Caenorhabditis elegans: one gene and its partner. The protein of the gene in region 1 purifies or fractionates together with the protein of each later gene. This does not show direct contact. Each region holds a gene or a part of one and is shown in the gene's direction. Other genes may lie near its edges.

Region 1 (5,119 bases):
AGCACATTATGCTTACATTAGGCTGGGCTTGATTGCTGTTTAAAAACACACTGAAGACGTTTATTGTATAATTTTGATTTTATTTTTGAACGTGGCAAACCTTTCTTGCACCATATTATACTTTAAAAAAATCACTAATTTCGATATCTCCCAAATTTACGTATTCAAAGGTTTCATAGGAAACCGTCAAATTTGCTTTTTATGCATGCCATTTAAACGCTATTTGTTTGTTCAATCAGAGTAAAACATTTGATTTGTTTTATTATCCGCCATTTACAGACAATTGTTCAGTATTCAGTGCAAAACCAGTTTAAAAACTCACTCTCTCGCTCATGAGAGACGCAGAGACAGATTATTACTTTTTTAAATGTAATTTTTTTTTTAATTGAGAGAGGCCGTGTTACACAAGATTAAAAAACACGCCAAAACTGTGTTTATTTTAAAAATAACGAGATAGATATAGGTAGTATATAGCTAATATAGCTAACTTTAAGAAAACTTGATTAAAACAAAAATGTAATAGATGAGATTTAAAATTGCAATAGATAAAGAACACCCAAAACAATTGTCTCCCTTGTTTTCTTCTTCTGATTTTAATGGAAATGTCTACGGGACTCTCCTCCCTTTGTGCTTCGGCCGAATTGTCAAAGACGTAATAATAATAATCATAATAATAATAATAATTGATTTATTATTTTTTCCTATTTGAAGTATGAACAACATTGAATGAACAATTATTACAATTGAAAATAAAAATATGATAACCAGCATTGACTTCTTTGAGATTATTTTCACTTCGAATCGCGTTTCGATCATCTCTTGCCTGGTCGGACAATCTTGCATTGTAGTTCATCTCCATCATTCGCTGAAATATAATACTTGTGGTAAATTATTAATTATTGATTATTAGGTAAAGTATTAAACATTATTAATTAATAGAAAAAATAAATTTAAAAACCTTCATGAAATCATGTTGCCGGGAATTTTGCTTATCCAGCATTTCCGCCATCCGCAGTGTATTGTTGTCGCTCATTGTTTGGGTGTTGGAATTGTTTTCTGAATTATGCTTTACATTGAAATGAATATAACAAAATTCCGTTTAATTGTTTAAAAAAACACAATTTTTAGTAACCATCATTTAAATATAAAGTTTTAGTGTTTTACTAGAACATGTTGCAGGAAAATTAATGATACAAATGGGGTAAAAAATAAAGAGAATATAATGCTCCCTTGAGTGCAAGCTTCTTTTATACTGAGAGGACACATCAACCTCATGAATAATCAAAATATTGCTAACAATTAATTCCTCCTGTCAAGGAAAAGTTTTGAAAGAAATGTGCTCTTGAAAGTTAATTTTCATGTTCCTCAGATTTCATGACGCTTCGCGGTTAGTTTTTTGACAGGTTATGTTTCTTAGTTCTATAATTTTATTGAAATGCACTTTCTTCCGTATGAGGAATTGTGTTATCTTTCAATAATGTGGAGCAATATTTTTATTTATAAGGAATGCTCTTATCAGTTCAGTATAAATTGAAGAGCGGAGACCACGAATGTTCAGTTGTCTTACTTTTATTGTTTTCTACAGCGTTGTTGTAGTAAAGCCTGTAATAGGGGCTGTGTGCTAGCCAAAAAACTGTTTTCTTAATTTTCGAATTTTTCGTAGGCTAAAAGTACAATTATATACCTTGAAGTTTTTTTCTGATTCTTTTTGGTGCTTTATTAGAATTCTCTTACTTTTTCATTGAAAATTAGCATACTGCCTTTTTTGCAGTGAGGCTGATAAATTAAGAGTGAGCGATATGTTCGGGCCCCATCACGCTGACAGTCAGAACAGTTTGCATGAAGACTCTGAACATTCCGACAGACATTTGGAGCACGACTTTCGAGGTCACCGCTCGGATAATGATGAACAGAGGCAAAATGGTGTGGTGCTTAAGGTATGTAACCCCAACCTAATTCGGTAACGGGAAGCAAATTTCAGAGTTATAAACCGCTGAATCAAGAGTTCGGAGAAACTGATCAAAGAAGAAGCAAATCAATGGGAATGAAGAGTGAGCAAAGTTCTGCTGAAGTTCATGGAGCAGCAGGAGAATCATTCGATCAGAATTTTCAACGAGAACATGAGCAGGACGATCAGCGGAGGGTAAGAGATTTTTGAAATGAATATGTCGATAAATCGAATTTTAAGATGAACATGGGATCAGGACATGGATCCCGCGAAGGTAATCGAACAAGAGTTGACAATGGGAGAAATGAGCCAAACACAAAACAATCTTACACTGCAAGACCAGAAGAATCTCGTGTGGATGCGAGTGATGACTACCATCAAAAACAACTTGATTCTGGCAGACAGAATGCAGTACATAGACGGGAAGATGAGGTAACACAGAAACCGGCTTGTCTATATTTTACATAATATAAATTCGAATTTTAGCGTTTTGTGGAGGAGCGACCAGCAACTAGAGAAACCCATCTAGGAAGTGATAGAAACTACAGAGAATCTTACGTACAACGAGAAGCACATGGAGACATGACTGAGCAACAGTTTCAGGACGATCAGCGGAGGGTAAGAGATTTTTGAAATGAATATGTCCATAATTCGAATTTTAAGATGCACTTGGAGAGAGGTCATGGACCCCGCGAAGGTAATCAAACAAGAGTTGACAATAGGAGAAATGGGCCAAATCCAAAAGAATCTTACACTGCAAGACCAGAAGAATCAAATGTGGATGCGAATGATGACTACCATCAAAAACAACATGATTCTGGCAGACAGAATGCAGTCCATAGACGGGAAGATGAGGTAACAAAGAAACCGGCTTGTCTATATTTTGCATAATTTAAATTCTGATTACAGCGTTATGTGGAAGAGCATCCAGCGACTAGAAATAAACGTTTAGGAAGTGATAGAAACTACAGAGAAACTTACGTGCAACGAGAAGCACATGGAAACGGGACCGAGCAACAGTTTCAGGACGATCAGCGGAGGGTAAGAGGGTTTTGTAATGAATATGTCGATAATTCGAATTTTAAGATGAGCATGAGGTCAAGTCATGGATCCCGTGAAGGTAATCAAACAAGAGTTGACAATAGGAGAAACGAGACAAGTCCAAAACAATTTTACACTGCAAGACCACATGGGAACATGACCGAGCAGCAATTGCAGGATGAGCAACGGACGGTAAGTTTGAGAGATTATCTTATGAATATTTAGATATTTTGAATTTTAAGATGCACATGGAGACAGGATACAAAACTCCCAATGCGGATCAAAGAAGGAAGAACGATAAGGCTTGTCAAAATCAAGAAAACTACAATGATCCTCGTATGACGGTAAATGGAGATTTTCATCAGCGACGAAATAGTTTTGACAGTCAGCAAGAAGAGCGGAGACTAAGGGGAGACGAGGTAACAAATTTTTTATTTTACTGTGAATACATTATAATTCCAGCGTCACATCGAACAGAATCGAGCATCAAGAGAAAACGAACAAATGAGATTTGAGAAAAAGCGAGAGCAAAATTTTGCAAATCCCAGAGTGGCACAAGAACGGATGGGCGCATCAAGTTATCAAAACGTCCACGGATTCGTTGAGCCCAGGGAACTAGAAACTCATGAAGAGCCGAGAGGTCACGGATTTCACGAAAATGATCGAACAAGCCTTGAGCCGAATTACAAAAATGTCTCCATGGTAAGATCGAAACAAGTTTATAATGCTGGTAAAAGAGATACTCGTCAGAGTCAGTTCGACTAAGACATGCAATAAGCAAAGCTTACTATGAGGAAAATGGGGTAAAACGCATTTTGATTCACATATAGCTTTATAAAATAAAGTGTCAGCTTTCTATGATAATAAATATTAAATCTAGAGAATACCCCATTCGAGGTAGGAGAAAATGCAAAACCTAAATTTTCAGAATCCCAGAGGGGTGTTTGATCAAGGAGTGCAACGGTATGCAGAGAATCGAGAAGATTGGTCGGATGATCAGCAGAGGGTAAGAACTATCCGATGAATACACCTATAACTTAAATTTTAAGATGTACATGGAACCAGGTCAGAGACACCGCGAAGATCACCAAACGAGAGTTGGCAATAGAGGAAATGGGCCATATCGCGGAAATTCTCACAATACTTCAAGGGCTGATGAACTTCATCTTCAGCGCCGTCAAACCAACAATAGCCAGATTCATAATCAGCAATTTGATGATCATTTCGTCGACAATAGAAAAGTAGGAATTAAGGTTTTATACTTTAACACACACACCACTCAATTTTTAGACTCATTCCTACAATGGACCAGAAGATAAAGACCCTAATCACTTACGATTGTCGTTGGAACAACAGGAAATCAGAAATATAGACGGATTTAATCAAATGAAAGTGAGTCTAATGAAATTTTTTAATTGATCATTGTGAATACTCAGAGAATGATGGAAAACAATCGAATGATATTAGAGGCTGATCATGCCAAAAGAGACGCAAAATCAATAGCGAAGGAAGAGAAAATCAAGAAACGTTTTTTATTTTTTTGATTAAAATTTTTATGAATGAGCTTTGTTTAGACCATACATCCATGAGCACGACATTCAGAGGAACGTTTACGAATTTTTTTCTCATTTTAGTTTTACATCATTTACAAATACCCTAATTTTTCATGATGTCTTTTTAAATGAACCTTTTAATGAACCAATAATCGGTCATCTTATATTTTTGGGTATCGTCAATTTTGTGATGGAATTTTAACTATAGTTTACGACAAACATATTTTTAAAGAAGAACTAACGGTTTGAGCAATTTTGGAAGTGTCGGCTGAAACGAATGAATTTCGTAACGAAACTGCTCACAAATTTTTCAAAAATGTTTTATGCCGGTTTAAAATTTTGAAAAAAAATCACGCTGATTTTAGCTAAAATCTCGAATTTTGACCACTTTTCCGTGCCGCATCTGCCCAAAATTAACTTTTTTGGAGTTATCAACCTTCTTTGCATATTTTGGTAGTTTATCTCATTTAATTTAGTCAATTAAGGTGATCCTCAGTAACAAAATTTCTTTAACATCCTTCCTCCGTTTTCATTAATCCAAGTGGTACTACCTATGATTTGTGCCAATAGTTCACAA
Region 2 (5,976 bases), 2.9 Mb from region 1:
GATAAGTTGAGGACGGAATGTGTCAAAAACGTTGCCAATGTTGAAATTGTTCACCAGAGCCATACATTTTGGCTTGAGAGTTTTGTGAAGTTGGAAGCACGCAAGGTTCTGGAAATTTTTTTAAAATTTCCTCTGAAAAGGATGTCAATCTTAAGGTTTTCAGTGTTAAACTACTTTTTCTAAACAAAAAAAAAACAAAAAATTTGCCGCCGGCGGGGATCGAACCCCAGTCTTGTGCGCCTTGGCTAAACCTCTACCCAACTGAGCCATTGCATCATTTTTTCGAAATTTGAAAAAAACAGCTTTTATGGTCAAAAAAAATGAGTTAGGGCCATTTTTCATTGAATCTAACTCCGAATTTCGATTTTAGACCTCTGTTCAGACTATTTCGATGCCTTTTTTCGGAAAATTCACAACAAAAAATCCGGATTTCGGTAAAAACGCGATTTTCAAAAAACATTTAATCTTCTTCATAGTGATCCAACTTAACAAAAATATTTGCTCTTAGTGGGGATTGAACCCTTGACCTTCTGCGCCGAATCCAAACCTCTACCCGGTTGAGCCACCCGATAAAAAATTTGTGCTAAAAACGCCTCCAAGATCAAAATCTCGCGCCAAATTCGAACTTTTCATTAGTTTTTGTTTCCAACTCACCATATATCCCGTCATTTCTGCCCAACTCTTCGGCACTTTCTCCTCCCAATTCTTATTACACATCTCGCAGAATTGTCCCTGAGCCTCTTGAATATCAGCGAAAGCACTAGCGGCAAGAACGAAAATTGCAGAGAAAATAAGCAGAAGCTTCATGTTTTGGGCCTCCCGGTGTGGTTAATGAGTGATAAGTGATTAGCAAAAACTGCAGAGGATCTCTACAGTACCGAAATTTGAAATTTAAATTGATTGTTTTACATATGATTTGCATTATTTCCATTTTGTCACCAAACACCACGTCTTTTGGAACGTCTAATATGGAAATTTTTCGTGGGAAAAAACTCGAATTTTAGGAATTTTTGAAGATTTTCCCAAGAAAATTGGTATAAAAATGAGTAGGATTCTCTTCAAATTTCAAAAAAAACTTCCAGATTCCCTCCAATATGAAGCTTCTCCTTCTCACTTTGCTCCTGGCACTCTGTATTTCTCCGATATTCGCTAATAAATGCGATTTTTGCACGAAAAGTGTGAAGGCGATCAAGGATGGCAAGGGATTGGCCTATATGGCTAATTTGTCAGCGAAACAAATCGACGATTATGTGAAGAAGCATGTAGAGGTGAGTAACTGAAAAATAAAAATAAATTGGGTGCAGTGGGGGTCGAACCCCTGACCTTCTGCGCCGCAACTAAACCTCTACCCTACTGAGCCACCGAGACCAATTTTAAAATTTGCGGGAAAACGACTTCCAAATCCAAAAATTGCGTAGATTTCAAATTTGTATACATAATCGCATTAAGTCTGACCTAAAAAACTCAAAAATGAAATTTTTCAAAAAAAAAGAACAAAATTCTGATAATTTTTGAAAATTTAAATTTTCTTTTATACTCTGAAGATCAAAATGATTTTAGTCGCAGAAACAAAAAAAAACAAAAATTTTCGCCGCTGTGGGGGTTGAACCCCTGACCTTCTGCGTCATAACCAAACCCGTACCCAGCTGAGCCACTTGGTCACTTAAAAAGTTTGCAGAAAAAGCTTCCAGGCCCAATTTTAGTGTAGATTTCCAATTTTGAATTACCATCGCTCAAAAATCGCTGACATTTGAGTTTTTTCAGAAAAATTGCTCCGGATCCACATGTCCAAAGCTCATCAAATCCCTTGTAGAGATCGCAGATCAACTCGATGATGACTTGGATTCTACCCCACAGGAATTGTGCAAATTCGTATATTTTTGTTGATTTCCATAAATTTTTGAATGGAAATAAATGTTAAAACAATAGATTTTCTCGAATTTACAAACAAATTATCTTGAGAATTTTAGTTTTAAAAAAATGGGAAAATTTCAAACAATTATTCAGTTAGAATTTTTTTCGAAAGCGATCTACTTATTAAATTTGTACAATTTTGTGTTGTATCCAAAAAAGTTTTAGTCAATTTTTATTATTTTCCAAGTTCACGCTATCCACATATTTTGCCACAATGCTTCCCTCCCCTATATTTTCAATTTCCAATCATTTCTGTATTTCAAAAATGTTTTCGGAACTGAGTTCGTCACAAACTTCAAATTCTAAAACAAAAAATGATGAGAGAGTCGAGACGGAGCTAAAGCCAAGCTCATCCGATGCATCAATCAATGATGGGAGAATGTTCGGCAGTTTGGAGGAGCTTATGACGTATATTGGTGAGTTTTGGTGGGAGTTACGCCAAAATTAACTATTGCAAAATATTGTGCGGATAATTTTGAACATTTTTTTTATTTGAAAGATTTTTGGTATCTGAATCCTACGCAGAGATACGACAGGTTAAAGTTTAGCGGCGAGAGAGTGTGGGGGAGGGGAGAGCGCAAGCGCGTGAGCTACCTGCGCCTCTCTTCCCGCCACACTCTCTAGCAGGCCTTCCACGAAAGCGGTGCTCTCGCCACGCGGACCTGCACAGCGTCGGCCGCAGTACACAGAGTGTTTATGCGTGAATTTTCAAGATCTAAACAGAATATTCAACCAAAAGTTTTAGGAATTATGAAATATTTTTTTGAAAAACTTAAAAGAAAGTTGTAGATCATAAAATTTTGAGTATTTCCGTAGTTGAAAGTTTTCGAATATCTTCATTCTCCGCGGAGCTGCACGCGTTTTAAGCTTGTACGGCGAGAGAGTGTTGGAGGAGGGGAGAGCGCAGGCGCGCGAGCTTACTGCGTCTTTCTCCCCACCACACTCTCTAGTCAAGTTTTTTGACGCGCATGTCTTTTAAACGAATAGAGATACTGAAAAACTTTCAATTGACAAAATTATCAGCGTACAATTTTCTACCCAAATGTCAATTATTCCAGGATCCAACTACCCGCACTACCGAAAAACCGTGTTTCCAATCTTCATCGTCTACTTCTTCATCTATTTCTCCTCCAGATTCCTAACAGAGACCCAAAAGCTTAAATCTCTGGAAACTATGAAACACAACGGAACAAATGAGTATTTCTACTCAAAATGTCTCCCAAACAATATGGATGATTCACTGAAAGTTGCTGAAAAAGTGAATTTCATTCCAGTTCGAGTACCAAAAGGAGAGCTGACTATTGTGATGGATACTTTCTTCATGTTTGCCACGACTACTTTGAGCCCCAGAAAGCTGGTAATGTGTTGTCTGGGATTTGTGAGCACCGCGTATTTTGTGATGGCACATTTCGACTCTCAAATTCAGATGAGCATTTATGTTTCGCAGATTTTTTCGGAGGTGAGCGCATTGAAAATATGTTAATGAGCATTTCATCAGTTGGAAGTTTTTTGATATCTCTAACGGTTGAGGAGATATGAAGGTTTGAAGTCAGCGCAGCGAGAGAGTAGGGGAGGGGGAGAGACGCAGTCGGCGCGCCGGCCTGCGTCTCCCCTCACCCTACACTCTCACGCCGCCCAAGCTTTAAACGCGTGTATCTCAGCGGAGAATAAAGATATTCGAAAACTTTCAACTACGGAAATATTCAAAATTTTATGATCTACAACTTTCACTTAAGTTTACTTAAATTTTTTTCAGATATACCGCATCGTTGCCTTAATCACAATTGCTGAGTCGGTTCCAAAGTATCACAGAATGCCGGCGTTGATCCTCCTGGAAATTGGTAGCTTTGAGCTTACAAAGTCTACGAAAAATTCAAATTTTCAGTCCGCACAGCTTCACACACACTTTCCACTGTAGCCGTTCGTCTACCATCAGAATTCTCCATGGATTTGTCGTACAGCTTTGAGATTTTTGGATTTCTCACGATCATCATGGGATTTGTCACTTATTAGTGGGTTTTTATTGACGAAACTGTGAATCTCAAGCCAAAAATTTACTGAAAATTTAAATTTTGGATCAAAAATGGAACAAAAATCTAAAATCAAAGCCGGGAATTGACTGGAAAATTTGAATTTCCCGGTGAAAATTAACAAAAAAATTGAATTTCCTGGGAAAAATTGGCTGAAAATATAAATTTCCCGCTGAAAATTGACTAAAAATCCAATATTTCAGCACATTCCACGACTCTCTGTACAGTTTGTTGGCTCGAAGTAAGACGGATCAAATGCAGGATCGGGTGACTGAGATCTTCAAAAAATCCGACATCTACCAGGCGCCAGATGCCGTAATCGATCAGATCGCATTCGAAAATTTCGAGAATAATGATAACGCTATCGAGATCTTCGTGAAAACGCTGAAATCGTTCAAGCTAATTCAAGAAGTGCTCGTTTGTGGTGTGATCTCCGGCGCCAGCCTTGCTGTCGACGCTTTCTTCGAAGCCGAAACCATCAAGCACGCCGAGCTCATGTTCTTCGAGAAAACTCTGATACCCATGACGTCATACACTCTATCAGCCATTTTGCTCCTGATTCTGAGCTTTTTGATGCCAACTCGACGGATTCTCCCAGTGATTTTGACTATTCCAGTGATTTTTCTCACGACATCGGTTATTTATGTGATTCCGGCGATTTTCAAGACATATGACAAGTGCTCTCAACATTATACCATTGAGCGTGAGTAGAACACAAAATTTTAAGCATTTTATCAGTTGGAAGTTTTTCGATACCTCTTACCGGTCAGGAGATATACGCGTTTAAAGGTTTGGCGGCGAGAGAGTGTGTGTGCCGGGGAGAGTGCAACGCACCGCCTGCGTCTCTCCCCGCTTACTATCTCTCACCCGCTAACTTCAAACGCTTGTATCTCCTAAACGGTGAGAGTTATCGAAAAACTTTCAACTGAGGAAATGATCAACATAAAATTTTGCGTCAGATAAGTTATATTTCCAGATTCTGTCTTTCCGTTCTACTTGGCAATCGGGATATTTACCAGTGCTCTCACAGATATTGTTCGCTTTTTTGTGAAAGTTCATTTGGTAACCATTTTCTCTTTTTTTTATAATTCAACTAACTTTCAATTTCCCTCAGCTTGAAGTAATGCCTGTGTTGATCCGTGCACCAATCATTGCGGTGCTCTATTTTGTGCAATACTCATTTGATGGAAATGTTCGCGGACTCTACTCGATGGATAGTATCGGCGGGGAGATGATTCTGGTGTTGATCTCGATTTTGGCAATGCTGATTTTGTTGATAACTCCGAGAAAGAAGAATGACATGAATGTGTTTTTTTCAGAATATAATGTAAGTAACTGTAGAAAAGTTTAGAGAAAACATTTTCATGAATTCTTGTTCAGAACAACGATAGACAAAGGGCATGCCCACCAGCACCGGAATTTGTGAACTAGATACTGGAACAATTGTCTATAAATAAATTTTTCTAATAGAAAATGTCTCGCTGAACATTTTGAAAGTTTTTCGGTATCTCTTACGGCTACAATGATACGCAAATTCGAAGTCTAAGAGGGGAAGTTGACAGTTAAGAAGGTACGTGAAAAAACTACAAAACGAAGTTAGTATCAAATATTAAATACACTTTGAATTATCACAATGAACGTAGAATTTTCCGCTGACAATTTCTTCAATTGGAAGTTTTCAGATATCTCAAACCACTAAGGAGATACTGCTATTTAAAGTTTTGCTAGCGAGACAGCGAAGGGGGGGAAGAGACGCAGAGAAGGCACCAGAGTGTACTCTCCCCTTCCCCCATACTCTCTCGCCTCTAAACTTTGAAACGGCATAACTCTGCGGGGAATTGAGATATCAGAAATGTGAAAATGGAGAAATGCATAGAAATAAAATTTATATTGGAAAAACTCGATTTCCCGGCGTTGTAACTGATAGTTCAGGTACTGTAACCTTTACAAAAACCTTCCTAATTGCATTTCGGTAGTCTCTTATAAAATACATAGGTACTAGGGAATCCATGACTGGCTGAGTGGCCATAAG

What was found.
Region 2: the proteins of F26F2.1 (region 1) and F59A1.15 fractionate together in Caenorhabditis elegans (co-fractionation; one large-scale study listed by BioGRID). This does not show direct contact.

Annotation. Positions count from the first base shown.
Region 1 is NC_003283.11:20,558,576-20,563,694, reverse strand, and holds F26F2.1 (Trichohyalin-like), read left to right. Parts: upstream 1-1,799; coding exon 1,800-1,937; intron 1,938-1,981; coding exon 1,982-2,143; intron 2,144-2,188; coding exon 2,189-2,380; intron 2,381-2,434; coding exon 2,435-2,566; intron 2,567-2,611; coding exon 2,612-2,803; intron 2,804-2,857; coding exon 2,858-2,989; intron 2,990-3,034; coding exon 3,035-3,181; intron 3,182-3,231; coding exon 3,232-3,408; intron 3,409-3,451; coding exon 3,452-3,691; intron 3,692-3,917; coding exon 3,918-3,995; intron 3,996-4,038; coding exon 4,039-4,230; intron 4,231-4,279; coding exon 4,280-4,381; intron 4,382-4,425; coding exon 4,426-4,533; downstream 4,534-5,119. Other genes in the region: F26F2.2 (Transcription termination factor Rho), read right to left, coding at 692-865, 959-1,033.
Region 2 is NC_003283.11:17,680,060-17,686,035, reverse strand, and holds F59A1.15 (Adenylate and Guanylate cyclase catalytic domain containing protein), read left to right. Parts: upstream 1-2,172; 5' UTR 2,173-2,179; coding exon 2,180-2,330; intron 2,331-2,972; coding exon 2,973-3,373; intron 3,374-3,670; coding exon 3,671-3,755; intron 3,756-3,799; coding exon 3,800-3,926; intron 3,927-4,147; coding exon 4,148-4,647; intron 4,648-4,920; coding exon 4,921-5,006; intron 5,007-5,058; coding exon 5,059-5,271; intron 5,272-5,324; coding exon 5,325-5,375; 3' UTR 5,376-5,419; downstream 5,420-5,976. Other genes in the region: F59A1.6 (Saposin B-type domain-containing protein), read right to left, coding at 1-108, 655-807; F59A1.16 (Saposin B-type domain-containing protein), read left to right, coding at 1,095-1,268, 1,765-1,887.